Linked DNA regions of Struthio camelus. The protein of the gene in region 2 purifies or fractionates together with the protein of the main gene of each other region. This does not show direct contact. Links are inferred from orthologs where the notes say so. Each region holds a gene or a part of one and is shown on either strand. Other genes may lie near its edges.

Evidence for each region.
Region 1: the proteins of CDC37 (region 2) and RPS6KA4 purify together in Homo sapiens (affinity purification with mass spectrometry; 3 studies listed by BioGRID and IntAct, with this or other methods). This does not show direct contact. The link is inferred for Struthio camelus from reciprocal best matches to the Homo sapiens genes CDC37 and RPS6KA4.
Region 3: the proteins of CDC37 (region 2) and DDX17 purify together in Homo sapiens (affinity purification with mass spectrometry; 3 studies listed by BioGRID and IntAct, with this or other methods). This does not show direct contact. The link is inferred for Struthio camelus from reciprocal best matches to the Homo sapiens genes CDC37 and DDX17.
Region 4: the proteins of CDC37 (region 2) and RPS6KA3 purify together in Homo sapiens (affinity purification with mass spectrometry; 3 studies listed by BioGRID and IntAct, with this or other methods). This does not show direct contact. The link is inferred for Struthio camelus from reciprocal best matches to the Homo sapiens genes CDC37 and RPS6KA3.

Annotation. Positions count from the first base shown.
Region 1 is NC_090976.1:700,245-707,974, reverse strand, and holds the start of RPS6KA4 (ribosomal protein S6 kinase alpha-4), read right to left. Parts: upstream 3,011-7,730; 5' UTR 2,869-3,010; coding exon 2,781-2,868; intron 1,581-2,780; coding exon 1,509-1,580; intron 267-1,508; coding exon 48-266; intron 1-47. UniProt on the Homo sapiens protein: Serine/threonine-protein kinase that is required for the mitogen or stress-induced phosphorylation of the transcription factors CREB1 and ATF1 and for the regulation of the transcription factor RELA, and that contributes to gene activation by histone phosphorylation and functions in the regulation of inflammatory genes.
Region 2 is NC_090972.1:4,866,594-4,873,719, reverse strand, and holds the start of CDC37 (hsp90 co-chaperone Cdc37), read right to left. Parts: upstream 3,011-7,126; 5' UTR 2,964-3,010; coding exon 2,778-2,963; intron 54-2,777; coding exon 1-53. UniProt on the Homo sapiens protein: Co-chaperone that binds to numerous kinases and promotes their interaction with the Hsp90 complex, resulting in stabilization and promotion of their activity. Inhibits HSP90AA1 ATPase activity.
Region 3 is NC_090942.1:58,319,193-58,326,650, reverse strand, and holds the start of DDX17 (probable ATP-dependent RNA helicase DDX17), read right to left. Parts: upstream 3,004-7,458; 5' UTR 2,677-3,003; coding exon 2,633-2,676; intron 1-2,632. Other genes in the region: DMC1 (meiotic recombination protein DMC1/LIM15 homolog), read right to left, coding at 6,465-6,534, 7,248-7,364. UniProt on the Homo sapiens protein: As an RNA helicase, unwinds RNA and alters RNA structures through ATP binding and hydrolysis.
Region 4 is NC_090942.1:136,907,203-136,914,400, reverse strand, and holds the start of RPS6KA3 (ribosomal protein S6 kinase alpha-3), read right to left. Parts: upstream 3,011-7,198; 5' UTR 2,928-3,010; coding exon 2,856-2,927; intron 1-2,855. UniProt on the Homo sapiens protein: Serine/threonine-protein kinase that acts downstream of ERK (MAPK1/ERK2 and MAPK3/ERK1) signaling and mediates mitogenic and stress-induced activation of the transcription factors CREB1, ETV1/ER81 and NR4A1/NUR77, regulates translation through RPS6 and EIF4B phosphorylation, and mediates cellular proliferation, survival, and differentiation by modulating mTOR signaling and repressing pro-apoptotic function of BAD and DAPK1.

The DNA.
Region 1 (7,730 bases), on a different chromosome or scaffold from region 2:
TGAGGACCCCCCCCCCGCAACACTCCGGGACCCCACCGGGGCCGTACCGAGGATGAGGTGGAGGCGGGCGCGGGTCTGGAAGGCGTAGTGCAGGGTGACGAGGAAGGGCGAGGCGCGCACTTGCTCGAGGACGGCCCGCTCGGTGCGCGTGTGCTCCGCCGTCTTGGCCTTCTGCGCCACGGCCGCCTTGCGCAGCACCTTCATGGCGTAGAGGCGCCCCGCGTCCGGCCCCGACACCTTGCGCACCAGGAACACCTTCCCGTAGGCTGTGGGACGGTCGCCGTCACGCCAGGGACACGCCACGGGCACGCCCCGTCACGCCAAGGGCACGGCGGTGACGTGCCGCGGAGGCGCCGTGGGCACGCGGGATGGGACGCGGACATGGGATGGCCCCGGGCACACGGGATGGGACATGGGTGCCCCCACAGACACGGGATGGGACATGGGATGGCCCTGGACACATGGGATGGGACACGGGTGCCCTCATGGACATGGGATGGGGACATGGGTGCCCTCATGGACACGGGATGGGACATGGAATGGCCCCGGGCACACGGGATGGGACATGGGATAGCCCTGGACACATGGGATGGGACATGGGTGCCCTCACGGACACGGGATGGGACATGGGATGGCCCCGGGCACACGGGATGGGACATGGGTGCCCCCACGGACACGGGACGGGACATGGGTGCCCCCACGGACACGGGACGGGGACAAGGGAAGGCCCTGAACACATGGGACGGACATGGGTGCCCCCACAGACACGGGATGGGGACGTGGGATGGCCCTGGACACACGGGACGGGACATGGGTGCCCCCACGGACACGGGATGGGAACATGGGATGGCCTGGGGCACACGGGATGGGACACAGGTGCCCTCATGGACACGGGATGGGGACATGGGATGGCCCTGGACACACAGGATGGGACACGGGTGCCCTCACAGACATGAGATGGGGACAAGGGATGTCCCTGGACACATGGGACGGGACATGGGTGCCCCCACGGACACGGGATGGGACATGAGATGGCCCTGGACATACGGGATGGGACATGGGTGCCCCCACGGACATGGGATGGGACATGAGATGACCCTGGACACACGGGATGGGACATGGGTGCCCCCACAGACACGGGATGGGGACGTGGGATGGCCCTGGACACATGGGATGGGACGTGGCTGTCCCTGAAGACACAAGATGGGACATAGGATGGGACGTGACTATCCCTGGGGACATGGGATGGGATACAGTGGCCCCCCCAGACACAAGATGGGACACGGCTGTCCCCAGGGACACAGGATGGGACATAGGATGGGACACAGGATGGGACACAGCTGTCCTTGGGGACACGGGACTGGACACGGGACGGGACATGGCTACTCCTGGGGACACAGGATGGGACATGGCTGTCCTTGAGAACACGGGATGGGGACATGGCTGTCCCCAGGGACATGGCATGGGGACACGAGGACAAGGCCAGGTGGGTCCCCGTCCCCGCTTACCTCCGGTCCCCAGGACCTTGAGCAGCTCGAAGTTCTCCACGCCGACCTTCTCCTGGTGGCCGGCCAGGTTGGCTGGGGACACCGGGGAGGGGGGTCAGTGCCTCTCGGGGACACCAGCGTCACCCCCCTGCCGCAGTGTCCCCAATGTCCCCTGGATCCCCAGGGCTGATCACCCAGGGACACATCACTGTCCCCAATGTCCCCTGGACACCCCCAGCCTTGAACCACCAGTGACACCCCCACACACACCAGTGTCCCCAATGTCCCCTGGACACCCCCAGCCTTGAACCACCAGTGACATCCCCCTAACCTTGGTGTCCCCAATGTCCCCTGGACTACCCCCCCACCCCAGTGTCCCCAATGTCCCCTGGACACCCCCAGCCTTGAACCACCAGTGACACACACCCCACCCCGGTGTCCCCAATGTCCCCTGGACACCCCCAGCCTTGAACCACCAGTGACACACCCCCCACCCCGGTGTCCCCAATGTCCCCTGGACACCCCCAGCCTTGAACCACCAGTGACACACCCCCACCCCCGTGTCCCCAATGTCCCCTGGACACCCCCAGCCTTGAACCACCAGTGACACACCCCCCACCCCGGTGTCCCCAATGTCCCCTGGACACCCCCCCTGCCCCGGTGTCCCCAATGTCCCCTGGACACCCCTAGGCTTCACCTACCAGGAATGTCCCCCCACCCCAGTGTTCCCAATATCCCCTGGAGCCCCACACCTGCCCCCTCAATGTCCCCACTGTCCCACCCGATGCCGACCTCTCCCCCCCCACCCGGCCCCGGAACGTCCGCGCTGGGCCGCGGTTTCCCCCCCGGCGCGGTGCCCGCGTACCGCCCCCTCCCCTGCGCCCCGGTGCCACCGCGATCCGTGTCCCCCCGGACCCGCCCTCCCTCCCCCCTGCGCCCCGGTGCCCCCCCTAGAACGGCCCCCCCTCCCCGCTCCACGCCTCGGTGCCCCCGCGCTCCGTGTCCCCCCGGAACCGCCCCTCCCCAAGCCTCAGTTCCGCCGCCGGCCAGCGACACCCCGGGCCGGTGCTACCCGGAACCGCGCCCCCCCCCAAAAAAAAAAAAACCACCCGGTCCCGGTACCCCCTCGATCCGTGTCCCCCCCCCCCTCGCAACCGCCCCCTCCCTCCCTCCTCCTGCCCCCCCGGTGCGCCCGGTCCCACCCGGAACGGGCCGCTGAGGGCGCCGATGTCCCCCCCCGGCCCGGTGCCGCCGCCCCCCCCGCCCCGTTAGGGCCCCCCCCGGGGCCGGTACCGAGAGCGGGCGGCAGCTCCTCGTCGTCGTCGTCGCCGCTGCTGCTGTCGCCGCGGGCCGCGGGCTGGATACCGGCGGGTTCGGCCATGGCGCGACCCGGCCCGGCCCGGCCCGGCCCGGCGCTTCCTGGTGCCGCCCCCGGGGCGGGGGAACCGGCACCGACACCGGCAGCCCGGCCCCGCCGAGGGACCCGCTGCTTCCCCGCGGCCCCGCCGGTACCGGCAGCCCGGGCCGGACCGGAACCGGAACCGGAACCGAAACCGTCTGGGTCGCAACCGGAACTGGAAGCGCCCGAGCGGGGCAGGGCCGGTACCGGGCTCCTCCGGCCGGTTCTGGGACCCCCCCAGCCGGTCCCGGGCTCCTCCGGCCGGTTCTGGGACCCCCCCAGCCGGTCCCGGGCTCCCCCCGGCCGGTTCTGGGACCCCCCAGCCGGTACCGGGCTCCTCCGGCCGGTTCCGGGACCCCCCCCAGCCGGTCCCGGGCTCCCCCGGCCGGTTCTGGGACCCCCCAGCCGGTACCGGGCTCCTCCGGCCGGTTCCGGGACCCCCCCCAGGCGGTCCCGGGCTCCTCCGGCCGGTTCTGGGACCCCCCCCCCCAGCCGGTCCCGGGACCCCCCCAGCCGGTTCCGGGACCCCCCCCCCCAGCCGGTCCCGGGACCCCCCCAGCCGGTTCCGGGACCCCCCCCCCAGCCGGTCCCGGGCTTCCCCCCCCAGCCGGTCCCGGGCTCCTCCGGCCGGTTCCGGGACCCCCCCCCAGCCGGTCCCGGGCTCCCCCGGCCGGTTCTGGGACCCCCCCCCCCCGGCCGGTACCGGGCTCCTCCGGACAGTCCCGGGCTCCCCCCCCCCAGCCGGTCCCGGGCTCCCCCGGCCGGTCCCGGGACCCCCCCCCCAGCCGGTCCCGGGCTTCCCCGGCCGGTTCCGGGACCCCCCCAGCCGGTCCCGGGCTCCTCCGGCCGGTCCCGGGCTCCTCCGGCCGGTTCTGGGACCCCCCTCCCCCAGCCGGTCCCGGGCTCCTCCGGCCGGTTCTGGGACCCCCCCCAGCTGGTCCCGGGCTCCTCCGGCCGGTTCTGGGACCCCCCAGCTGGTCCCGAGATCCACCCAGCCGGTACCGGGACCCCCCGGCTGGTGGCAGAGGGGCAGGAGGACCCGGGGGGGGAGGGAGACATTGGGGGGGGGGTCGGTTTAAGGGGACCCCAGGGTTTTGGGGGGGGGGCTCCAGGGCCCGCCAGGGATTTGGGGGCAGGACGTTGGAGGGCTCCAGGGGGGGACTTGGGGGGCTCTGGGGTTCCCCTGGGCTGGGGGGACCCCGGGATTTGGGAGGATGGGGGGGGAACTTGGAGGTCAGGGGGCTCCAGGGTTCCCCTGGGCTGGGGGGGCCCTGAGATTTGGGGGGGTGCTGGGGGGGGACTTGGAGGTCAGGGGAACCTGGGGATATGGGGCCTCTGGGGACTCGGGGGGCTCCAGGGGTCTGGAGGGGACCCTGGAGATTTGGGAGACTGGGGGGGGACTTGGGAGTCAGGGGGACCCCAGGGACTTGGGGGGGGCTCTGAGGACATGGGGGTCTTTAGGGGGGGGCTCTAGGGGACCTCAGGGATTTGGGGGGCACTTGTGGGGCAGAGCTGACAGCAACCCCAGCCCCCTCCAGCTGCTGTGGGGCGAGGGCCGATCTCGGGGGGTCCCCAGCCACCGTGGGGCAGAGCCTGGCCTTTGGGGGGGGGGGCCCTGTCTCGCTGTGGGGCAGGGGCTGATCTCGGGGGGGGGCGCAGCTCTCAGTGGCCGTGGTGGAGCAGGATTTGGGGGTGCAGCATGGTTTGGGGTGCAGGGTTCAGGGCACAGTGGGGGGGTTCAGCAGTGCACTGACCTCCACACTGGGGTGCTGGGGGGGGGGACGGGGACCCCCACATCGGGGGGCTGGGGGGGGGGGGAGGATGGGCATTCGTTTCCAAGGAGCAGAGTCTCACATCCAGCGCGATTAATTATTTATTCAAACGTCGGTACGGTAAATCAACAGCTCAGCTGGTGCCTCCGGGGAGGGACCCCGAAACGAAGCGATTCTGGGGTCGTCAGACCCCACACCCCCCCCCCCCAGCCCCCCTGCAGCCTTATTCCCCCACCTGCCCGCGACGGTCGCTTCCCGTCGCCTTCCCTCCGCCGGTGCCCGTTTCCTTTCGATCGGTCCCCGTCTACGTGCCGGGACGGCTGCTACGTTCCTGCTTCGCAGCGCCAGAACCTTCTCCGAGGTTACTCCATCACGCCGAGTCCGGCGCGGGCCGCGTCCCCCCCCCCGAAAGATATCCCTCGCCCCCGGCCGGCCGTGCCGCGTCCCCCCCCCGAAAGATATCCCTCACTTCCCGCTGTCGTGTGCCGCCTCCCGCCCGGAGCTCGTCCCTTCGGCGTGTGCCGCGTCCTACCTGAAGCTCGTGCCTCGCCTCTGTCCGTCGCGGGCCGCGTCCCGCCGGGTGCTCGCCCGTTCGGCGTGTGCCGCGTCCCGCCGGGTGCTCGCCCGTCCGTCGCGGGCCGCGTCCCGCCGGGTGCTCGCCCGTTCGGCGTGTGCCGCGTCCCGCCGGGTGCTCGCCCGTCCGCCGCAGGCCGCGTCCCGCCGGGTGCTCGCCCGTCCGTCGTGTGCCGCGTCCCGCCGGGTGCTCGCCCGTCCGCCGCGGGCCGCCTCCCGCCGGGTGCTCGCCCGTCCGTCGCGGGCCGCGTCCCGCCGGGTGCTCGCCCGTCCGTCGCGGGCCGCCTCCCGCCGGGTGCTCGCCCGTCCGTCGCGGGCCGCCTCCCGCCCGCCGCTCGCCCGTCCGCCGCGGGCCGCCTCCCGCCCGCCGCTCGCCCGTCCGCCGCGGGCCGCCTCCCGCCGGGTGCTCGCCCGTCCGCCGCGGGCCGCCTCCCGCCGGGTGCTCGCCCGTCCGCCGCGGGCCGCCTCCCGCCGGGTGCTCGCCCGTCCGCCGCGGGCCGCCTCCCGCCCGCCGCTCGCCCGTCCGCCGCGGGCCGCCTCCCGCCCGCCGCTCGCCCGTCCGCCGCGGGCCGCCTCCCGCCAGGTGCTCGCCCGTCCGCCGCGGGCCGCCTCCCGCCGGGTGCTCGCCCGTCCGCCGCGGGCCGCCTCCCGCCCGCCGCTCGCCCGTCCGCCGCGGGCCGCCTCCCGCCCGCCGCTCGCCCGTCCGCCGCGGGCCGCCTCCCGCCAGGTGCTCGCCCGTCCGCCGCGGGCCGCCTCCCGCCGGGTGCTCGCCCGTCCGTCGCGGGCCGCCCCCCGCCGGGTGCTCGCCCGTCCGCCGCGGGCCGCCTCCCGCCGGGTGCTCGCCCGTCCGTCGTGTGCCGCCTCCCGCCGGGTGCTCGCCCGTCCGTCGCGGGCCGCCTCCCGCCGGGTGCTCGCCCGTCCGTCGTGTGCCGCCTCCCGCCCGCCGCTCGCCCGTCCGTCGTGTGCCGCGTCCCGCCGGGTGCTCGCCCGTCCGCCGCGGGCCGCCTCCCGCCGGGTGCTCGCCCGTCCGTTGCGGGCCGCCTCCCGCCGGGTGCTCGCCCGTCCGCCGCGGGCCGCCTCCCGCCGGGTGCTCGCCCGTCCGTCGCGTGCCGCCTCCCGCCGGGTGCTCGCCCGTCCGCCGCGGGCCGCCTCCCGCCGGGTGCTCACCCGTCCGTCGCGTGCCGCCTCCCGCCCGCCGCTCGCCCGTCCGCCGCGGGCCGCCCCCCGCCGGGTGCTCGCCCGTCCGTCGCGGGCCGCCTCCCGCCGGGTGCTCGCCCGTCCGTCGTGGGCCGCCTCCCGCCGGGTGCTCGCCCGTCCGCCGCGGGCCGCCTCCTGCCCGCCGCTCGCCCGTCCGTCGCGGGCCGCCTCCCGCCGGGTGCTCGCCCGTCCGTCGCGGGCCGCCTCCCGCCGGGTGCTCGCCCGTCCGCCGCGGGCCGCCTCCCGCCGGGTGCTCGCCCGTCCGCCGCGGGCCGCCTCCCGCCGGGTGCTCGCCCGTCCGCCGCGGGCCGCCTCCCGCCGGGTGCTCGCCCGTCCGTCGCGGGCCGCCTCCCGCCGGGTGCTCGCCCGTCCGTCGCGGGCCGCCTCCCGCCGGGTGCTCGCCCGTCCGCCGCGGGCCGCCTCCCGCCGGGTGCTCGCCCGTCCGCCGCGGGCCGCCTCCCGCCGGGTGCTCGCCCGTCCGCCGCGGGCCGCCTCCCGCCGGGTGCTCGCCCGTCCGCCGCGGGCCGCGTCCCGCCGGGTGCTCGTCCGTCCGCCGCGTGCCGCGTCCCGCCGGGTGCTCGTCCGTCCGCCGCGGGCCGCCTCCCGCCGGGTGCTCGCCCGTCCGCCGCGGGCCGCCTCCCGCCCGCCGCTCGCCCGTCCGCCGCGGGCCGCCTCCCGCCGGGTGCTCGCCCGTCCGCCGCGGGCCGCCTCCCGCCGGGTGCTCGCCCGTCCGCCGCGTGCCGCGTCCCGCCGGGTGCTCGCCCGTCCGCCGCGGGCCGCCTCCCGCCGGGTGCTCGCCCGTCCGTCGCGGGCCGCGTCCCGCCGGGTGCTCGCCCGTCCGCCGCGGGCCGCCTCCCGCCGGGTGCTCGCCCGTCCGCCGCGTGCCGCGTCCCGCCGGGTGCTCGCCCGTCCGCCGCGGGCCGCCTCCCGCCGGGTGCTCGCCCGTCCGCCGCGGGCCGCCTCCCGCCCGCCGCTCGCCCGTCCGCCGCGGGCCGCCTCCCGCCGGGTGCTCGCCCGTCCGCCGCGGGCCGCCTCCCGCCCGCCGCTCGCCCGTCCGCCGTGTGCCGCCTCCCGCCGGGTGCTCGCCCGTCCGCCGCGGGCCGCCTCCCGCCGGGTGCTCGCCCGTCCGTCGCGGGCCGCCTCCCGCCGGGTGCTCGCCCGTCCGTCGCGGGCCGCCTCCCGCCGGGTGCTCGCCCGTCCGCCGCGGGCCGCCTCCCGCCGGGTGCTCGCCCGTCCGCCGCGGGCCGCCTCCCGCCGGGTGCTCGCCCGTCCGCCGCGGGCCGCGTCCCGCCGGGTGCTCGC
Region 2 (7,126 bases):
TTATCCAGCTCCTCTTTTTCCTTCTGGAACTGCTCCATCCTCTCCACTCGAGCCTGCAAGCAACAATTTACACTTTTAAGACCCTCAAGAGAAAAACAAATAGATAGTCTGGAAGACTGCAGTCACGAAGCAGCAACATCAGCCTCTCCAGTGCATCCAGAGCCCACAGGACTTTGAATCATCCCTACAACGGCCAACAGGAGCTCGCGACCGGAGCTCAGAGTGGGCAGCTGGCTCTGGCTATTCAGGCCTGCACTGTGCAGTGCTTCCTGGGGAAGGGTGGGGGGCTCTTCTACCTCCTCTGGAGCAGGCAAGAATTGAAACCACTTCAAGACAACAGCGGGATATTTCTGTTTAGCGTTCACTATCTTCCACACCCCATTAGCTGACTTGGGTTCTTTAGCCACGCTTCTCCCGTGACACTGACACACGCACAGAGCCTCCCTACGCTGTTAGGTAACGGCTCGCTGCAGTGTAGGAGACGCGTGCTCCAGGAAGCCTGACATGCTTTCCCAGATCGCTGTTATTCTTTGTGGAACACAGCGAAGAACAAGAAGTCACATACCCTCCCCCAGAAGCAGCTACATTAGGAGCACAAGGTGAGAACAGACGCATCTTTCCTCAAAAAGATCTCTTTCAAGAAAGATCAAGAGGCAGAAGAGCTGCGTTCTCTCCATGCACAGCTCCACAGGACGAACCTGGAGCAGACGCTGCACCACAACATATTCCAAATGCAACATCAAGCCTACGCTCACCTGCCTCAAACAAGCCCTCCAAGCTAAGCACTAGCATTTTGTTTGAACTGGAAGCGGGGGCAATTTAATTTGCACGCCAGCTTCATTTTTCTTCACTGTCCAATTTTTAACCACCCTTCCCTTCCTCCCACAGCCTGTGCTGCTAACCCCCAAATATCATATTACTTGGAGAAAAGGATTGTGAGTCCCTAAGGATTTCTTCTGCTCAGACTAGGCAGCGCAGGTCTGCGCACCTCCTCCACACAAGGCCGGGACCCTTCCTGCCTTCCTATCCAGGGCCCTCACAGGAAGCGGGAAGAACTGCCTTTCACTGTTATTCCTCTGCTTGTTTGAGGTGAGGACGCCTTTAGCGGAGGAAGCCAGCCGGGAGCACACGAACTCACTGCATTCATTCTTTACCTGCAAAGAAACTTGTAGTTTCCTCTCCTCACATTTGGGGGAGGGGGAACCCACAGAAGCAGCGCACACATGCGCTTAGCCAGTATCCCATGAATCTGCCTCTCTCAGTCACTGCCTCCTCCTGCAGGTTTATTACCCTTCATGGGCAGGGGAATCGCAGCAGAAAGAAACAGCTTGCTAGAAGCACAGGGAGTTGCCAGAACTCGGCGCAGCCCTTCCAACCACATCCATGAAACCTACGCAACAGCGACGGGACGCGAAGCTCTGAGTCCCGAGAGCAGGCACTGGCCCCAGGTGAGGTGGGCTACCCCTGGCTTCTCCAGAGGGAAGCCGGGTTCTCCCCGGCGAGCGTCACCTGGCCTGACAAGCTAGGGTAGCACAGGGCAAGCATAAGGGGATAAATCAGTCATTTGAGGAACACAGGCAAAAGGCTGACACGCGGCACTCACAGGGCGCTTCACCGTGGCGCTGCTTTGACCCAGCAGACAAGTCACTTCCACTAATACCCAGGCCCGCTCTAGGGGCGTCAGTGGCATGGTGCCGCAGAGCCTCACAGACAGATCGCGATAGCTTCCAAGCCTCCGCACCAGTATTAGGCAGAAGAGACTACCTCGGGCTGGCTAAGCTCCTAGCACAGTGACTTGGTCAGAGGGTAGCATCTCCCCAGGCCCAGGGAAGGGACAGGGCAGGCACCAGCCTGGGGCTTCCTGGCAGCTGCCCTGGACCCCAGGGCAGGGCCTAAGGACTGCTGGCTCCCAGGGCCTTGGACAGTGTGCCCTGAGGAAGCCTCCTGGAAGGGCCCTGAGGGACAGGGGGAGCCATGGGGACAGGGGTCACAGGGAGCCAGTCCCCACAGCAATAGGAGCCATGGGGGAACCCCTGGCCCAGACACCATGGGGCCAGGTCAACATGAGGATAGGGGTCATAGGGAGCTGGACCCCAAACAGATGAGGGCCATGGGCTCCCCCATGGCCCAGCCACCATGGGGACAGGGGCCAGCAGGAGACCCCAGCCAGGCCAACAAGGGGATGGGGGCCAGGGGGACTGGTCACCCCAGTGACAGGGAGGGGTAACAGGGGAGCCCCCAGCCCAGGCCCCATAGGAAAGGGAAGGGTCTCAGGGAACCATTACCATGGGGACAGGGGGGGGCCACAGGGGAACCCAGGACCCACAGACAAGGGGGGGTCTCAGGGAGCTGCTACCATGGGGACAGGGGGGTCACAGGGGGGCCCCCAGCCCAGGACCCACAGACAAGGGGGGAATCTCAGGGAGCTGCTACCATGGGGACGGGGGGGGGCACAGGGGAGCCCCCAGCCCAGGACCCACAGACAAGGGGGGAGTCTCAGGGAGCTGCTACCATGGGGACAGGGGGGGTCACAGGGGAGCCCCCAGCCCAGGCCCCATGGGGAAGGGAAGGGTCTCAGGGAGCTGTTACCACAGGGACGGGGGGGGTCACAGGGGAGCCCCCAGCCCAGGCCCCATAGGGGAGGCGGTCGCCATGGAAACGGGGTCACGGGGGAGCCGGTCGCCATGGAAACGGGGTCACGGGGGAGCCGCGCCCCGGCCCAGCCCGGAGTCGGGGGGGGGGGGGGGGGCGCTGCCGCCGGCCGGCCGGAGCCCGACCTGGTGCCGCCACCGGAAGAGGCTGGCGGTGTCGATGTTGGGGTGCGTCTCGTCCTCATCGTCCGACACCTCGATGTGGTCCCAGACGCTGTAGTCCACCATGGCGCGGCCGCGCTCCGGGCCCGGCTCCTCCGGCCTCTTCTGGAAACCTCCAGCGCCCGCGCCCGCCCACTTCCGCCCGCACATGCACGCACTTCCGCCCGCGCCTGCGCACTGCGCCTGCGCGCCCGCCCCGCCGCGCAGGGCAGAAGCCGGAAGCGCCGCGAGGCGGCGGCGGCGCGCATGCGCGGCAGCCTCGCCCTGCACAAAGATGGCGCGCCTCTTAAAGAGACACGCGCAGGCGACGCGGGGGTCGGGGCAGGGCCTCGCGTCGACCCCCCCTAGCCCCAGTGGGGACGGGGGGCGCTTCCCCCCCCACCAAAAAAAAAAGAGGTGATGCCAGAAGCACCTGCCTGCGGCACCCCGAGTGCCCCAGTCCATCACCCTGGGTGGTTGTCCCAGGCCCACCCGCCACCCATCCCACCCGTCATCCCGTCCTGCCCCATTGCGACCCCCTGTCACGACCCAGTATCCCATCCTGGCCACCCCAACCTGCTATCTGGGATGGCTGTTGTGGCCACCCCAACCCTGCATCCCGACCCACCAACCCAACCCACCACCCCGATTCTCCATCCCAACCCTCCATCCTGACCCACCAACCTGACCCACCATCCCGACCCACCACCCCGACCCACCACCCTGCGCCACCATCCTGATCCTCCATCCTGATCCTCCATCCCAACCCTCCACCCCAACCCTCCATCCTGACCCCCCACCTCAACACTCCATCCCCACCCACCGTGCTGACCCACCACCCCGACCCACCATCCTGGCCAGCCACCGCAGCCACCCCGACTGTCTCGCCACTGCCAGCCCCCCATCTGCCCGCCCCGAACTGCCACCCCGCTGTGCTGGGGGTGCTAGGGGTGCTGGGGGTGCCCGGTGCTGGGGAGCAGGGGGGGTCCCAGTACCGGGGGTGCATAGGAGTCCCAGGGAGGGTGCTCAGTACCGGGGGTCCCGGTATCAGGGGGTGCTCGGTTTGGGGGGTGCATGGGGGTCCCGGGGGGGTCATGCCCAGTGCCAGGGGGTCCCAGTGCCAGAGGTGCTCGGGGGTCCTGGGTGGTTGCCGGTGCCAGGGGTGCCAGAGGGGTCGCGGTGCTGGGAATCCCGGCGGGATCACAGTGCCGCGGGTCCCAGGGGGGGCTGGTACCGGGGGTGCTCAGGGGTCCCGGGGGGGCCGGTACCGGGGGTGCTCGGCGGTCCCGGGGGGGGGCCGGGGCCGGGGGTCTCGGGGATCCCGGGGGTCCTGGGGGGGCCAGTACCGGGGATGCTCGGGGATCCCGGGGGGGGCCGGGGCCGGGGGTGCCGGTACCGGAGGTGCTCGGGAGTGCGGGGGGGGCCGGGGGGCCACGGCGCGGTGCGGTACCCGCGGGGCCGGCCCCCCCGCCCCCCCCCCCGGTTCGCTCCGCCCGAGCGGCTGCGCCTGCCGGTACCGGGGCGGCGGCGGCGGCGGCGGCGGCGGGGGGGGGGGCGGGAGGCGCCGCAAACAAAGGCGGCTGGATGCGGCCGAGCCGGCGGCGGCCAGGTACCGGGGGCGGCACCGGGGGGCCGGGGGGACCGGGGGGGCCGGGGGGGCCCTCCCCTCCCTGTGCAGCCGCCGCGCTCGGGCCCGGGCATCCCCGGCGGGGAGTGGGGGGCAACGCCTCGGGGGCACCGGGCATCCCGGGGGGACCGGGAATAATGGGGGGACCGGGAATCCCGGCGGCGCTGGGCATCCTGGGGGGACCGGGCATCCCAGCGGGACCGGGAATAATGGAGGGACCAGGCATCATGGGGGCACCGGGCATCCTGGGGGGATTGGGAATCATGGAGGGACCGGGCATCCCGGCGGCACCCGCTATCCGGAAGGGATGGGGGGGTGCAGTGCCGTGGCAGGACCAGGCATCCTGGTGGCACAAGGCATCCCGGGGGGACTGGGAATCATGGGGGGATCGGGCATCCCAGAGGGACCAGAAATAATGGAGAGACCGGGCATCCCGACAGCACCGGGCATCCTGGGGGGACCGGGAATCATGGGAGGACCGAGCATCCCAGCAGCACCGGGTATCTGGAAGGGATGGGGAGGATGCAGTGCCGCGGCAGGACCAGGCATCCTGGTGGCACAGGGCATCCCGGGGGACCAGGCATCCTGGGGGCACTGGGAATCATGGAGAGACTGGGAATCATGGGGGGACTGGGCATGCTGGGGCACCAGGCATCGGGAAGGAATGGGGGGGATGCAGTGCTGCAGCAGGATCAGACATCCCAGCAGCACCGGGCATCTCAGGGGGACCGGGAATAATGGAGAGACTGGGCATCCTGGGGGACCGGGCATCTTGGGGGACCAGGTATCCGGAAGGGATGGGGGGGGTGCAGTGCCGCGGCAGGACCAGGCATCCTGGTGGCACAGGGCATCCCGGGGGGACCGGGCATCTGGGCAGGACTGGGCATCCAGAAGGGATGTGGGGGGTGCAGCGCCCCAGCAGGACCAGGCATCCCAGGGGGACCAGGAGTAATGGAGAGACCGGGCATCCCAGGGGGACCAGGCATCTCGGGGGGACCGGGAGTAATGGAGGGACCGGGCATCCCAGGGGGACCAGGCATCTCGGGGGGACCGGGAGTAATGGAGGGACCAGGCATCCCAGGGGGACTGGGCATCTTGGGGGACCGGGTATCCGGAAGGGATGGGGGGGGTGCAGTGCCACGGCAGGACCAGGCATCCTGGTGGCACAGGGCATCCCGGGGGGACCGGGCATCCCAGGGGGACCAGACATCTCGGGGGGTCCGGGAGTAACAGAGGGACCGGGCATCCCAGGGGGACCAGGCATCTCGGGGGGACCGGGAGTAACGGAGGGACCGGGCATCCCAGGGGGACCGGGCATCCCGGTGGGACAGGGCACCCCGGTGGGAGCAGGTGCCCCATGCGGGAGCCCCCTGGGACACAGCGCTCGGGGGTCCCCGCGGCCGGTCGTGCTGAGGGGCCCCGGGAGCCCCCCGGGGGCAGTGGGGCTGCGGGCAGCGAGCCCCCCGCTCCCGCCCCGCCGGGAGAGGCACCGGGCGTCCCGCGTTTCGGGAGCGTCCCGGCCCTGCGGCCGCGCTGCCGGGGCCGGCCGTGCCGCGTCCTGCCGGCCCCTTCTGCGGCTTCGCCGGCGGCGGCGGGTCGGCGAGACCGCTGCCACCCCATCACCCGTCCCGGCGCAGCCGCCCCTTTCCCCCGGAGCGCCCCGAAATCCCAGCCGGGGAGGGACGTGCGACGCCGTTCCTTCGCCCCGGCCGCCCGCCCCCGGCCGTTTCCGCTCGCGGCTTGGGCTTCGCCGCTCGGCGCGGCGTCACCGGCCCCGGCGCCAAGCGACTGCGAAGCAGTTAAATAGGCGGAAAATTCCTCCCGAAGCCGGGGCAGGCGGCGGGGGAAGCCGGGTGCGCTGACCTGGGGGCAGCCCCCTCCGTGCTGGGGGGAGCCGGAGCCCCAGCGTGGTGCTGGCCGCTGCTGCGATGAGCGTGTCGGTGCTCAGCCCTGCTCCTGCAGCCCCGGGTCCCGGCGACGGAGCGCGAGCAGCCCGGCTGGGCCCCCCCGGGGCGGCGGGGGCGGCGGGACGCAGCCCTCACCCCACCGCTCTCTCTTGCAGGCCCCTGCGCCCCCCGTGCCCCCCGCGCCGGCCCCCCTGGCCCCCGCGGCCGGAGCGCGGGCAGGACGGCCGCTGAGCCCCCGCGCCAGGCGGCTGCATGAAGAAGAGCCGGAGCACCCTGGCCGTGCCCGAGGACCAGGTGAGCGTGGCCCTGGGCCGGGGGGGCAGGGGGCCGTGGACCCCCGGCACTGCCCGGTGCCCCGCGGACACGCCGCCTCCGGGAAGGGGGAGCCGGGCAGAGCTTCTCGCGGCCGGCTTGGGGCCGGGGAGAGCGTGGAAACGCGGGTGGCTGCCCCGTGCCCGCGCGCGCGCCTGCTCGGCCAAGGGTGCGCGTGTGCATGCATGGCTGCAGGTGCGTGCGTGTGCGTGCCCGTGTGTGCGCATGCCCGTGTGTGCATGCAGGCAAGTCTGAGTGTGCAAGCGCATTGGGTACGCGTGCACGCACGGCTGAGGGTGTGCATGTGTGCACACATGTGTGTGTGTGCATGCACGGCTGAGTATGCGTGTGCGTGCATGCGCGTGTGTGCCCATGTGTGGGCAGCCATGGGTGTGTATGTGTGTGTGCCCATGCGTGCACAGCCAAGAGCACGTATGTGTGTGTACGTGTGTGCGCATGCATGCACAGCCAAGTATGCATGTGTGTGC
Region 3 (7,458 bases), on a different chromosome or scaffold from region 2:
CTCATCAGTATGCCTCTCAGATCCCCAAAACAGTCTGCAAAATCAATAACTTCTGTCATATGACAAGACTGTAAAACAACTTCAAAAATCAATTTAAGGTTTAATTACTCTTTTGAGACAAAGTAAGAGAGTCAGTACAGATCATCAGTTACAGAAACATTCATCTTTACTGACGATATCTGCTACTGATTGTGCTAATCTGAGGTTAAAAAAAAGTCAGATATTTATGAATCTAAGTAACTCTAACAAAATGAATAGTCTCACTGAAGTCAGCTGGAGAGTCAAACTGTGAATAAGTTTACAAAGAATTGACTGCAAGATCAGACAGTAAAACAGCTGGGTATTATAAATATTTGCTCTTTGGCTATCCAGAAGAATACAATGTATTTTGCATAAAAGTCATATAGTTTCAGTTCTTCATTCTTATACACAGTAAGACTGTATGTTGACCTGAAAGAAGTGAGCCCTACATCATTCCTGAAATGCAGCCTCTCACAGAATTTACCTACTCACCTGGAAGTAACTGACACTTCACAATCTCATTACAAGTAATAATCATATTCCAATTCCAGTTAAACTGATTTAAATCTAGGGATATTTCACTGGTTTATCAAGAGTTCTCATTTCAATTAAGTGGAAATTTAGACTGATCCAAAACAATCTGCTCTGGTACTATTGTGCCGTCGTTTATCAACTAAATAAACTAAATCAATTTATTCAATTCCAAAGCACAACAGCATAACTTTCCATGCTAAAGAGTCATCTACAACTTGCTCATGACAGAAGGAAAATAGAAAGCTTGTATTCAGTTGTCTTATAAATGAACCAGCACTGAGAAGGTTAAACTTCTAAACGGAGCTTGACTACCAGGCTGGGTCACCCAAAATTTAAGAGAAGTATTTATGAAAAGATGGTTGCTAGTCATTACAAATACTTCCAGACCTTAAATAGATGGGCATACCAAAGTGAACCCTGACGCATCAAAACTTCCAGTGTAATAGCCCAAGAATAAGATTTTTCATGTAAAACATACAAAATCTTTACAAATAAGCATTTAAGCACTTACTTATGCAACACCTCCGTTTTAAAAGAGAAGTATTTGTCAACAATCAAATTCTTTACACAAAACCAGATTACACAAATTTTAAGGCACATTAAGTATCATGACAATGTTTTCAACTGTGTTCCTTTAAGTAACTGTATATAAATCTGCATACTCAAATTCAGTCACTAAACTCCTAAAAAAAAGCTGGGATCTGAACAATCTCAGGCTCACCAAAGTGTTTACTCCAATGTCCTTGTGTTAAACTAAGCTGGAAAGCTCATAGTGGAAAAACACCAGAACTCTCCTCTCTGTAAAGAAACTAAAACGATCTTTAAATTTAATTTCTGAACATGAAACAGTGGGTGTCAAGATAAAGCAAGAACACAGCTATCTCTCTCCACAGAGAGAGCTAAATATTAAGTTACAATTCAACATATAAACAAAATATTCCTGATCTCTCAGTGGGAGGGAAACAAAAAAAAAAAAACACTCATTCTTAACATGGCAGACTGGATTTCGATTAATAACAAAACCCACATATGCTTATCATTATCCTTGAGAATGAAGGCCTAAACTATTTGTAATTTAAAGGAGAGAAAGGGACAATCTCTCCCGAATTTAGTTCTTAATTTTCTCTTTAGAAAAGCTTGGGATAGGAGTCTTATGATTTCTTAATTCTTTAAAAAAAAAAAAAAAGTCAAAGTCTCAAGCCATTTATATACTGCTATACCAGCCTATGTTATGCTTACCCTAATGATACCCAGAGCACATTATATTTATTACTACCGTCCTCAGAGAAAAATCAAACCTGCATAAACCTTTTCTAAACCAAACTTTCTTGAGATAGTAGTATCAAGAGTATCAAATACCAGGCCTTCGCAGTGCCACAGAGACAACTTCTCTTTGATTGCTACCTAAGTAAGCTTGGTCATGCTTTTTAAGTGTGGTCCAGGGCCATGTTTACTGAGATCAGGCTCCTGAGAATGCAACTCCCCTGCATGGTAGCAGTTTTCAATTCTATTTCCTCTCCGGATAAGCCTGGGAGTGCTACTGAGAAAGATCTTTCACCAACTGCCATCTTTCTGAAAAGTCCAGAAGGAGCAATGACAACCCGAAGGGCAGAGTATCCAACCACCCTTTCCAGGGCCACCAAGACCTTCGTTATTTCCAGGGGGGAGTACGATGAAGGAAAATGGAGGTGGCAGGAAAAAAAAAAATTAATAATAACGCGGGGGGGGGGGCAGGAGGACCTTAAAATTGAAAGTGAGGCACATGGTTACACGTGAAGGAAGGAAAAGCAAAATTAAAACAATAACCACCACCCCTTGCTGCCAGAACCCCGGTAGGAATAACGTCTCCAGCTCCCACCCCACCCTGGAATAAAGATATAGGGTGAAAAAAAACTGTCCCAAATACCGCAGCCACGATCAACCTCCCCCCCCTTTACTGCCCCACGATTCCCTCCCGCCCGCCTCCCCCTCGCCTGGCTCCTAAGCCAAAGGAGGGGGCCCCCTCCACCTCCCCCCCCACCGCGCCGCGCCCCCTCCCCCAGGCCCAGCCTTCCCTCCCTTCCCCCCCTCCCCTTACCCGCCGCGGTCTCGGTCGCGGCCCCGGTCTCCGAAGCCTCTCATGGCACCCGGGGGGGTGGGTGAAAGGCAGCGGAATGCTGGCCGTGGGGAGGGTGAGGGACTAGGGGTACGGGGAGAGGGTCCAGCCAGGGGCGGCTGTGCCTCGGCGGAGTCGCTTTGCGCCACCTCGCTTCTTGGGAGGGATACAAAAGGAGAAGAAGTGGTCAGTGGGTCAGAGACCCGCTGAACGTCGGCGGACGGGACGGCGGGGTTCTCGGTAGGCTCCAGGGCCCGTGAAGTGTGGAGACACCAGCGTCTTCTTCCTCCGGGCTCCCGGCACAAAATGGCTGCCGCCTCTCCAACCCGCTTCACTTACGTTACGGGCGGCCCGGCGCTGCGCAAATTCCGGCCCTCGAAAATATCTGCACCTATTCTCGGAACCCAACTACGCCCTAAGCGCTCTTCGCGAAACACTGTTCCGCACAGCGGGCAGGTTACGAAAGTTACGTAGTGTTCTGTGCTTAAGCGGGGCCCCTGCGTCAGGAGGGGAGGGGGGAGAGTAACACTCTCCCTATTCCTCAAAGTCTGCTACGTAAGGAGTCGATCTTGCAACCCCTTCTGGACGGTAGGGAAAACCCAGGCCGAGCCGTACGTTACGTAAGAGCACTGCGTACGCAAGTTGCGCAACTCGGGCTGGCGTAGGGGAGGACGAGCCCGCCCGTTTTGCGTAAAATTCTTCCGTAGGTTTTGCTGGAAGGGCTGGCGGATTACGTTAACTTTGCAGCGTAGTCGAGCTTGGAGAATACGGCCTTTTGCCTACGCGGCCGCTGTCCCCCTGGAAGGCGGCTTCGGGGCTGAGGAGACAATAGCGGAAGCGCGGGTGCCCGCGGCCTCTGCGGCGGCTCCAGCAGGACTGCGCGGGGCCGGTTATGTTTGGTTTCTTCGCGCCTTTTTTTCCTCGCAGATGCCTGGAGGGGATCTTGGCGCCGCGCACAGCGCTGAACCCGTAACAGGAGCGACAGCAGCCATGATGTTTGCTTTCTCCTTATTTCTAGGAGGCTGGAAGAAACTGGTGTAATGCATCCAAAAATGGCTTAATACTCGGCCCTGGTGACCCCCCTCCATAACTGCAGGAGCCTCATAGCAACGTCTCCAGAAAGTCAACTGCTAAAGAATTCACACTTTTGCTAACTATAATGTTATTCCATGGGGTGATACACTGAATGTTTACAAATGGAACATGCAAAATGTAAATCTTAATATTAAGTTGATGTTGTAAGGTCCTCTGTTGCCTTTTCACCCCAAATATGTGTAATTTTGTTGAGATAAATAGTTTCTTAAAGGCACGTAGATGACACTAGTTTGGCTTTGTTGACTTGTCTTCAAACAGACAAACCAAAGGCACGTGTCTGTTATTTAATAAATGCTTGAAGGCGTATAAATAGAAGTTAACAGCAGCAAACCTACTGCAGCATTCCCATTGTACCTATCCCTATCGCGTCATCTTTACAAACGACGCGCGTGTCTGAATTGGTAAATTCTCTGTGATCTTTGTCAAAGCGGTCCCTTGCTGCAGGAGGAGCCTGCCGGGGGAGCCGGGCGCAAGGTGAGGCGAGGCCAGTCCTGCGAGCCAGCCAGAGGACGGAGGGCACGGCCCCGGCGCTGCGCGCACGCGCCCCGGTAGCATTCGACTCCAGAACAACACCGGAGACTCCCAACTAAATGATAAAATTAGCCAGGAGGCAGCCACGTGGCGTGGGCTGTAAACTATTCGTTAGAAAACTGTCAATTTTACGCTGAACTGCGCAACAGGAGAGAGCTTTTGGTGGCCGCAATGAAATGGCCTTTTGAAAGGAAAGGGGCTGTGCTTCCCTTTCTGGCGCCTCTGGGCGAGCAGCCAGCTCGCCTGCCCTGGTACATGAGGTTTAGCCGTTTATCGGGCGGGTGATCTACCTGCACCGGCCAAACGATGGCATCCCCACGCCAAAGCTGCACGATCAGCAGTGCTTTCCAGGTTATCAGACAATCAAAAATCAGGATGGCTGAAGAGCAAGCGAGTCCCCTTTACTTTCAGACCCTTGAGGTTAACAAATGACTTCGCCTGGAGCCAGATACAAATTGTTTACCACTTTATTCTTCTTGCATTACCGTATGGCACATGTGAGAAGGCAAAAAGCAAACGTGGTGCTGAATGCGTTGAAGAAACTTTTGCCTCCTAAGTGGGTGGGAGTGAATCAACACCGTAAGCTCACGCTTGCGCTCTGCTACTTGGCGATTACAAATAACTGCCGGGTGTGGGAAAGACTGGTAGAGGCAGAGGATTAAATGCTACATTAAATGAAAACTGCTGATCCATTACTGGCTCTCTCTGATCAACTGACCTCCTAGCGCCTTTGTCTCTCTAGACTTCTCTCCGCTGTGAAAAATGGTATTTTACCTCAGAAAAATTATCAAGTATAACATACGCTAAGAAAACACTCAGTGAAGGCAAACTCTTTAACTTTATCACAAGGTAAACTTGCTGAAGTTAAATTCTGGCTACAGTGCCAGGCATTTCTTAAAGAATTTGAAGTAAAAACACAGTGGTGACCAGAAATTATCTTACATAAATTAGATAATCTAAATTTAAAATGCACTTCTATGAGCAAAGACAAGCTCTTTGACCAAACACCAGAGTTAGACCCATTCTCTTCAGCGTTGTGAGACAAGAGGAAGAAGTGAAGCCTTTCTTTAAAGCATTTAACAGTTTATTTTAAAACAAGCAATGTCATAGATATTGGAGGTAGGGAAAACTGAAATTTTTTTTCCCCTACTCCCCCATTTGTCTCTTTACTCACAGCTTGTTCCTTTGTCCCCAGTGACATACATCTGTGGACATAGCTGTGTTGATGGGCCAGCCGGCTACGCTCTCTCAGAACAGATAGCAAGCTAAGCATAAAGTGTCTTTCCCTCAGTGAAAGTACTAGTGTCAGTCTCTATCCTCTATCTAGCCACCGCTTCTGTTTCCTTCTGCTTTTTCATTAAAAAAACCTCATCTTTACTATTCTCATTGGCAGTAGAAGGAGACTGGTGAGGCAATCGCGCAATGTTTGTTTCCTTAGGGAACCGGACTACGGGATTTAAAATACTGGGTTGCATCCTGCTTATTTTTCTCATGAATGTTCTTGGAAATTACTGAGAGCGGAGTCTGATTCAAAGCACCCAAACATAAGCAGAGCGCCAAATAATTTTTTATTTTTATTTTTAGCTTTACTAAATAAAAACAATTTTAAAATATTCCCTCCAAAAGTCACCATGCTAAATAAAAGGACAAAAATAATCTAGTCAAGATAAGAAGGCCTAAAAACATATTTTCAAGCAACTACTGCTCCTCTACTGTTCATGAGATTCCATCAAGTTCTTGGGCTCTTGCCCTGCCACTGCTTTTTCCATCTATTTATCGGTCACTCTTGAAACTATGTTTATTCCAATTCTGTTCCATTTCACACTATTAAATTCTCCTTCACAGACTTTCACTTTCAAAGAAATTGAAAAAGAGTACATTAAGGTGATGTGAGAAGACAGCTTTGATTTTCACAAAATATTGGGAAAGGATTCCTTGAACAATTCACAAGTTTATTTTTCAAATCTTTGTCTGCTGAAAGTTCAATTGAAAAACAAAGCCTCTAAAATGAACCAAATTCTATCAAGATCAATAAAACTGAACTGTACAGAGCTCGTTCCAATGTCCTCCAAAAATATCTCAAATGATCCCCAAAAGATAAAAATGAAGCCAGGGATTCAGTGACCTTGCACACACGTCTCCATCCCAGCTGCCTAGGGGCAGCTATACATTTGCATCAGTTTTCTGCCTATTCTTTGGCATCCCCAATCCCACCAGCAGTTATTGCAAATGTAGCTTCATTTTCAGGCATCTCAGGGCTGCAGACAGAAGAGAAACAAGAAACTCTGTTTTTCCCCCATGTTAAAGGCAGTTGTGGCATAGACCCCAAAACGATGCAAGTATAAGAAGCAACATGGAATACTTCAATGCCTTTATGGCTATGTGCAAACTGTAGAAAGTGATCCAAGATGATCAAGATCAGAAAATGTGAAATCTACCTCTTTGAAGATGAGAACTACAAGGGAGGAGAAAGGAGGAGGTGTAGGAGAAGCAAAGATTCTGTCTATGTAAACCTTCACTTAAATGTCTTAGTTCCAGACCAGGAACGCTGGGTCTCTCTATAAATACACTAATTCCACTGATAAAATTTGTAATGACTTGCGTCTGCCACAGCCTACCAGGTAAACTGATACTCCTAATTAAAACTTCATAATTAAACAGCTCTGGATCTTTCCCGCCAAGGGACCACCAATGTTACCAAACTATTTGACAATCTTCTTTAGGAGATGAGCATCTAGTAGGATTTATGACGAAAGATTATATAATTTAATATACATGATATGTGGAACAGAACTTTAAGTCTGTTCATTGGCTTGTCTTTTCACATTTTCTCTCAACATACCATCCAGAAACATAGCTAATTGGAAACCATGAATCAATTGTCAAGCTATTAAGTTTCAGAACCATGAACTTCATCATCTTAACCTTGCTTGTAACACAGCTTCCTTCCTGTAAAGAAAAGGTGATTTACCTGTCATATATCTTTGCAATACGCAGCTCCCCTCTCCCTTTCCTCAAACTGATCCTGGTAGTTGAAGCATGCGCAAGGATGTGGCCCCCAATGGGCTTTTTTGGGTCTGCCTGAAAGCTAAATTAGCAATAAAATATTGATGATTCACTGTGCAAATTCCATACGTTAACACTGCGATTAGCTCTCAGATGAGGCATATCAGACTCAGTAA
Region 4 (7,198 bases), on a different chromosome or scaffold from region 2:
ACTTGTAGAAACAGAACTCCTGCAGCTTACCTCTGAAAACTATAAATCCATGTCACATCTAAAAAACTACTTGCATTATTTCTTAAGAAAGACCACGTTCTACAGATCTGTTGATTATACTCGCACTAAGTTACAACAGTTGTTGAACGTTAATAATGTAGTCTTTCAGAGTAATGCTAGTTAAAGGTATTTACTCCTCCCATAGAATACGCCCATGTATCACAATAATTCATCTCCTCAGTGATGCCAATAGGAAACTGAGTACAGGACTGCATAGTCCTAAAAATTTAATCCAGGTAATAAAAAATGAAAATTAATCCAATATGAAAACTCAGAGTTAAGATTACAAAAAAGGATTTGAGATAAGTTTTAAAGCTCTTAATTCCATGATTCCATGTGGATAACACAGCATTACAAAAAAATGCATCAGCAAATCTGCCATGTTAGTGGAAACTCTTTACCCTGTTATTACTGCTGAAGACATTATTATTATCAAACTATGACTGAAAGCACAATGAGGATGTAAAAAATATCTTTGCCCAAGGATGTGCTTGCAGGATAGGGTCTGTAATTAGGATACTGCTATGCTGCAGATGACTACATTTTCAATTCGCATGAGTTGTTTATGTACTTAGGTCATTTGTTTATTTGACTTAAATTTATCAATTTTCATTAAAACATCTTCTCTTCTTAAAAACTCATTTCAGGTAAGCAACTTCTTTAAGTCTACCTTTTCCTTTTGAGGAAAAGCTTTTACAGGTGCAATCTGGTCTTTTCAAGCACTGGATATTTATTTTAGACTAGGACCTTACCTTGTAAACCTGTCAGTTCAGTTGCTGTTTCATGTTTTGTTAGTGTTCCCAGTGAATTTTTTTAGATGCCTTATGACACACTGCTGTAGACTCAAGACAATGCAAGTGCTTTACTCCTTCCTCCCTCCCTCACTTTAGGAAGAGGTAGAATACACCAGTTTCAAGAAATCTATGACAGTAGTTTAAAAACAAATCATGGAACTAAAGTGCACTAAAACAAGGAAGTAATAAAAAGAGCATAATTAACCACATACATAGGTACTTTTCAAATTATCTGGTTTTATTACCTTTCTAGTATATATACCCTAGCGTTATTCAAGACGCATAGAATACATGCAGTGAGCAAGGAAGACTGAACTAACAGTTAAGATGTATTCTCTAAATCATTAGTGTAAACGGCCTTGCAGAAAAATCCTTCCTTGCCACTTCTCTCCCCTGAGCATCACACTATTCCAATTACTCTTCACTAAAAAATACTCATCTAAGAGCACCACTTCAAAAGTCACTGAGGGAAATTACAGTAAACAGCAAGAATTTAAGACAGTTAGATGCGTCTGTTAGATCAGAAGTCCAGGTTCTTCTGACTTCCAGAGATGCAGTCACTTTAAGCAGAAGGAAGACAAACATCAAGAGGACAAACACGTTGATACTGCAGAAACTTTTCAGTTTGGTCTATCTTTCTCTGCTTCACTCATTAGGAATAAGCCCTAACCTTGAAACTAATTTTTGTGGGCTGGCCTGAATCCACACTGTTCAAAATCATGGTTTGGAGCAGACTGGCTGCGTATCAGCTGGAGGAGATTCAGGTACAAGCTGCACCATCAGAGGAAGCTCTTCCTTTCCTTTCTGATGGGAGTCTGACCGTCAACTAGGGTGTACATTGCAGATGACTAGGAAACCACGAAGCAAGCACAACTGTCTCTGTACGTGTGGTGTTTACGTAGATCCAAACCAACAGAGCAGCAAGTACTCGGTAAAGAAGAACTGGAAATAACTGGAGGCGTCCGTAGCCCCCGATCTCAGGGTGCAAGCGAGGCTAATTTCCAGCTCCTGGCATTATCTCAGCCTGGAAGAGCTCACACGCGTCCTGCCCGACGGTGACACGAGCGCAACACCAACTCCCCACTACCAAAAGCAGGAAACCGCACTGGGCTGCATCTCAGGGATGTTCCCACAAAACGCGGCCGAGCACCGAGCTTCACCAATGCGAAGCGCCCGTGCGGTTTCCCAAACGCTTGCGAAACTGCAGAGACACAACCCCATCCTGCTTAGATAAGGGGACAGCGGCACCCGGGCGGGGACAACCCTTCCCCGCCGCAGGGGGAGCAGCGGCAAGGCGAGGGCGCCGGCAAAGTGACGCCGGCGCCGGCCAAGCCCCGCGGCCGAGGCCAGGGCCAGGACCGAGACCGGGCTGACCGCCCCCCCTCCCCTCCCCTCCCCTCCCCCTCAATCCCGGGGCCGGTTCCGGCCGCTCGGGAAGTGCGTGCGGAGGCGGCAGGGCCGCCCCGGGGCAGGGGGAAACCCGCTCCCGACGAACGGGCACGGCGCCGAAACAAAAGCCGCCGCCGCCGCCGGAGCCGCTGGTCGCCCTGCCCGGGGCGGCGGGCGGAAGGGGAGGGAGCCGGCGGCGGCCGTGACCCGCGGCGCGGGGCAGCCCCGGCCGGCGCCGGCCGTGAGTCAGTGCCCGGCGGAGGGAGCGGCGCGCACGAGGCGGCCGCCGCCGCCGCGCTCGTCCCCCAGCCCCGGCCGCCGGGGGAGCCCCAACCGCCCCCCCGCCTCCCGTCCTCCCCGGCGGCGGCTCGCTGCCCCCTCGCACCCGCCGCGGGAAACTTTCTCCGTCCCCCGAAGAGCGGCGGGAGCCGCGCTCCCGTCTCCGCCTCCCCCCCCCGCCCCGTCCGCGGCCCCTTCGCAACTTCCCCTGCCCCGACCGCCCTCACACGCCACCGGCGCCGCCACACGCCCCGCTAACCCCCGGGGCACCGCGGCCCCCCGCCCCAGGGCTCGGCTCTCGCCCTGGCCGCCGCTCCCCGCCGCCGCCCGTACCTCCGTGCTGCTCTCGGCCGCGCTCTCCACAGCCATCTTCTGCCAAGGGTCCGCCAGCTGCGCCAGGGGCATCTTCCCCGCCCGGCGCCCGCGGCCCCCGCGCCCCGCTTCCCCACACCACCCCCCCGCGGCGGCGGCGGCGGCGAGGCGCGACGAGGCAGGCAGCGAGCCCTCGGGCGGGCGCGGGACGCCCCGGCTGCCAGGACAGCCCCGGCCGGCTCTCACGGCGGCGGCGGCGGCAGCAGCAGCGACTGCGGGGACGGCCGCCGAGCTGCCGCCGCCCGCCCCTCCCCCACGCGCTCCCCCCTCCCCGCCGCCAGGCGGGGCCGCGCTTCCGCCCTCCCACCCGGGCCGCCGCTCGCACCCGGCTTCCGCTCGCACAACATGGCGCCCGAGCCATTACCTGCCCGCCCCAGCCGAGGCTACGCGCGCGTCACCCCCAGCGGGCGGGGCCGCGGCCGGGGCCGGGCCAATCGGCGCCGCCTGCAGGTAGCGGGAGGGGGCGGGGCCTGGCTGGGAGGCGGGGCGGAGCCGCGGCCCGGCTCGGTGGCGGGTGGCGCCGCGGGGGGGGGAGGCCCGCGGGTCGGGCGGCGCAGCGCGTCGGGAAGGCAGTACCGGGGGGAAAGAGAGGGACGGGGACGACGTAAAGACCGCGGTCGGAGGTGCGGGTTGAGGAGCTGGAGGCTTCAGCGGCCGAGAAAGCGGGGCGCCGGGAGCCGTTGCGGAAGCGGGTGGCGTGTGCGCGGCGGCGGGGTGGGCTGCGTGGGTGGGAGCTGCCTGGCAGCGGGCAAGCCGTGCTTTGTGCAGGCCGCGAGGGCAGAGCTGCCAGCGGAGCCGGGGAAAGGGCTTGTTCTCCTCGCCGTTTCCTCAGCTATTAGCTGGGGCGCGGACAGCTGGCTGAAATACAGGCTGAGATCCCCCCCAGGCCTGCGGCCTGGCTGCAGCCGCGCAGCCCCGACGGGCCGGAGCCGCCGCCGCCGCCGAAGGTGGACGCCCGCGTTGGGCGCCTCGCTGCCAAGTTTTCCCAACCCTACCTGAGAAGGGCCGCTTCGTTTTCCACAGGCCTCGCCCCCCTGCCCACCGACTCTGTCCTAAAGCCTTTCCAGGTGTTGATGGGCGTAAGTCACGTGCTTTGCTTCACCCCCGATAAAGGTTAATGTCGTTTTATTTGGGTGGGGGGCAAGGGGATGATGGGGCAGGAGTGCTAGTACCTAAAAAAACGCGTGTGCGCGCATGCATGAAAGCACGTGGGTGCGCACACTGATGTGGCAAACAGGCTACTTCTGTTTCTGCTCGGCAGCGTGTTTTCGTCCCGCTTTATTTCTGTAAGCGTGACTGCCTGCCGGCTAAGAGGTGCCAAGTAATGGACAGGCCGTGCTCCATAATGAATCGGACTTCAGCCGGTGCTGCAGCGAGCTCCATATCTGGCGTAAAAGGTCATCGCGGAACGATCCCCCCGAGCCACCACCGCTGCCAGGAGCAGCAGCTGTGCCCTCCCCTTGCTTGCTGCTCTTCGTGCTGGCCCTTGCCGCAGCCTCTCTTTTGAACGGGTGAAATTGCTGGTGCTGCCACGTGGTGAGTCAGACTGCAGAACAGCGCCAAGTAAAAACTAAACCCCCCAAACCACCACCACCTCTCAGAAAACAAACCCAAGCCCATCCAAGCTTGAGTTAAAAGTTGAAAAGAAATCAGGGCTGCCCCCTTTGACAACAGGGGGGCGGTTTGTAAAATTCTGGCCTGTTATTGATATGAAGTTTAGAATAAGGCAATAGAAAACAGAGATAATTCAGTAGTGCTTGACAGCTTTTACGCTTAGGTTAATAGCAATTTTGTAGTCTGATCAGAACCAGGTCACTTTAGTCTCGAGCTGGCGGCTGGAATGTTGAATGGAAAGCTTATGTTCACAGCAGTTGTACGTTGTGTGTTTGACACACACATCAATGCTTTTCTTTATCTTTTGAGTTCGTGTAAGAGTCTGTAAAGAAAGAAAAGTTTGCTTCCATCCCTTTAGAGGTGTCAGCTTCTGTTCCCTCACAGGGATAATTCAATTTACATTATTGCAGCTCATTCATTTGTACCCACGCTAACTACACGGTCAAATACCCACATCTGAGACTTGCCGTTATGAAAAAGAACCTGATCAGCTCAAGGGTGGCAACCGTAATAGAGAAAAAAATTACTTAAATTTGCGTTTAACATAATTCAAGCAATCCCTCTTTATATGGTAAGACTTCCTTCCTCTAAATAAAGGCTATCGTCTCCTGTCTTCCCTTCCTACTTGTCTGGTCATTTCCTGCCATAGATACCTGTTCCAAATCATTTATTTAGAGTTTGAAGCTCTTCTCAGAGGGAGAGATGGTGTCACATTTCAGTCAGGGCCTTTGAAAATGTTCATCATCTGTTGTCCTTCCTACGAATCCAGAAGAATAAAGGCAAAGATTTTATGTGCTAATATGTAAAAGGGCTGCAAACAACAGAAACCTGACCTTTTCGAAGGCACTGATGTGAGGAGGATGGGCTGAAGTATGCCATTTAATTGTTTGGGGGCTTATTTGAGTATTATCATACCACACATTTAAATCTTACAAAGGAGACAGCTTCATCAGGATTTTAATAAGAGCTACTACAGAGGAACAGAATTCAGGGCAGAAAAAAACATCTGTAGATTGTCCCCATGGGGAAGAGAAACACATCAGTTGATGTCTGGGAGATGCGGGGGTTTCTGACTTTCGGATCCTGCTAAGTTCTGGGCTGGATCGTCCAGAGAGGGGTAAGACACTGAAGGTATTTTGCCTCGAGACAGCAACTCCTGTTTTCATTCCTTCTGTCTCAGGCCAAAGCAAGACTCGTGCTTTCACCTGTGGCAGCAGACCTTTCCTTCTACCCTCTTCCCCTTTAAGCACAGCTATCACATGTTGAATGTAGTCACCATTAATAACCGCCTGTCACCAGAGTCTGTAGGGGTTGAATTCACCTTGGCAGAAGTGGTCGCTATCATATTGCATCTACACAGATGTTTTACATGCACTTCAACTTGATCACATTTTTTAGGAGAAGAACAGCATGTGGCAGCTGAAGTGACAGTGCTCTGTAAAATCTTGTTAATGTATCGTTATATGAACTCGTTATATGAACGTTATATGGGCTCCACAAACTGCACCTTTTTTGATACCACTTATGACAAATATAAGTTGTCATTGTATTGAAAGGGGAGACATGAGCTTAATAGGACTCATCTATCTTTCCCCTACTCAAGTCAGGTTGAGAGGTGAGCGAAAGGAATAAGGGAAGCTTGCTCATGGTCAATCATTTCCAAGGCTTTGTATAGCTTTGAAGTAATACCTAATAACTCTTTGCATGTAAGGCAGAATTCATTGCAGGGTTAGTAAATGGCTGTAGTCACACCCAAAAATCAAATTAATAAGCATAAAACGGGAATAGTTGGTAGCATCACTACAGTACCAAAAGGATGCCAAGAAACCGGAGCAAAGTTGTATTTCCACTAAAGTGGAAGGCAGAATTCCGGTTTATTTAACTGGTTTGAAATCCTGTTTCCCTTGGTCACAGTACCACGCTTTTAGAAAGTATTCTGACAGGACTAATAAATCAAATGCATTTAGGGGTCACAGTATAGTATTTAGGAGCTTGAACTTGTATTTTCTAAATATAAATAAAAGGGAAAAATGAGTAAACCAAACAGTATTTATGAGAGCAAAACCCACACGCATTACATAGATGGTGTAGTAGTGTATTAGGTATGAATTATAATGTAGTTTCTTCTGGATTAAAACGCGTAGAATATGAAAAAGTAAATGCCTTCTGAAAGTGCAAATTGAACTTCAGTTTCAAATGTTACAACCATAGTGTTGAGGTATATAATTTGAATTGACTGTATGGGAAAATATGCAAATGTTATTATTCAAAATTATGTAGAAGAAAACTTAGGAGTTAAGTAAAAAACTAAAAAAATCAATACAATTTATTTTTATAGCCAGTAGGAGCAGAAGAGCCTCTTACTCTCGGGACACCTGGATTCAATTCTTAGAGGATCACAAAGGACAATTGTGTAATTTGGTCACTTAGTGTAGATTCAACTAAGGAGACTTAAGTCTTTCTTAATGATGTTTTCAAAAGTGTGAAGAGACATTAACTGGAGAAGCGTAAATATATCCTGCCAAAATAGAATAAGGAAGCCTTAGCGGAAAGTAGAATTGGTTGCTCTGTGCTTTAGTCAGTGCTTTACTTGCCTCGTTGGGATATTGCAAGCATGTTTTCCCTGATGTTTGGAAAACTGATGATGGCTGGGGAGAGAGACTATATGCTAAAAGAAGTTCCCAGCTGGC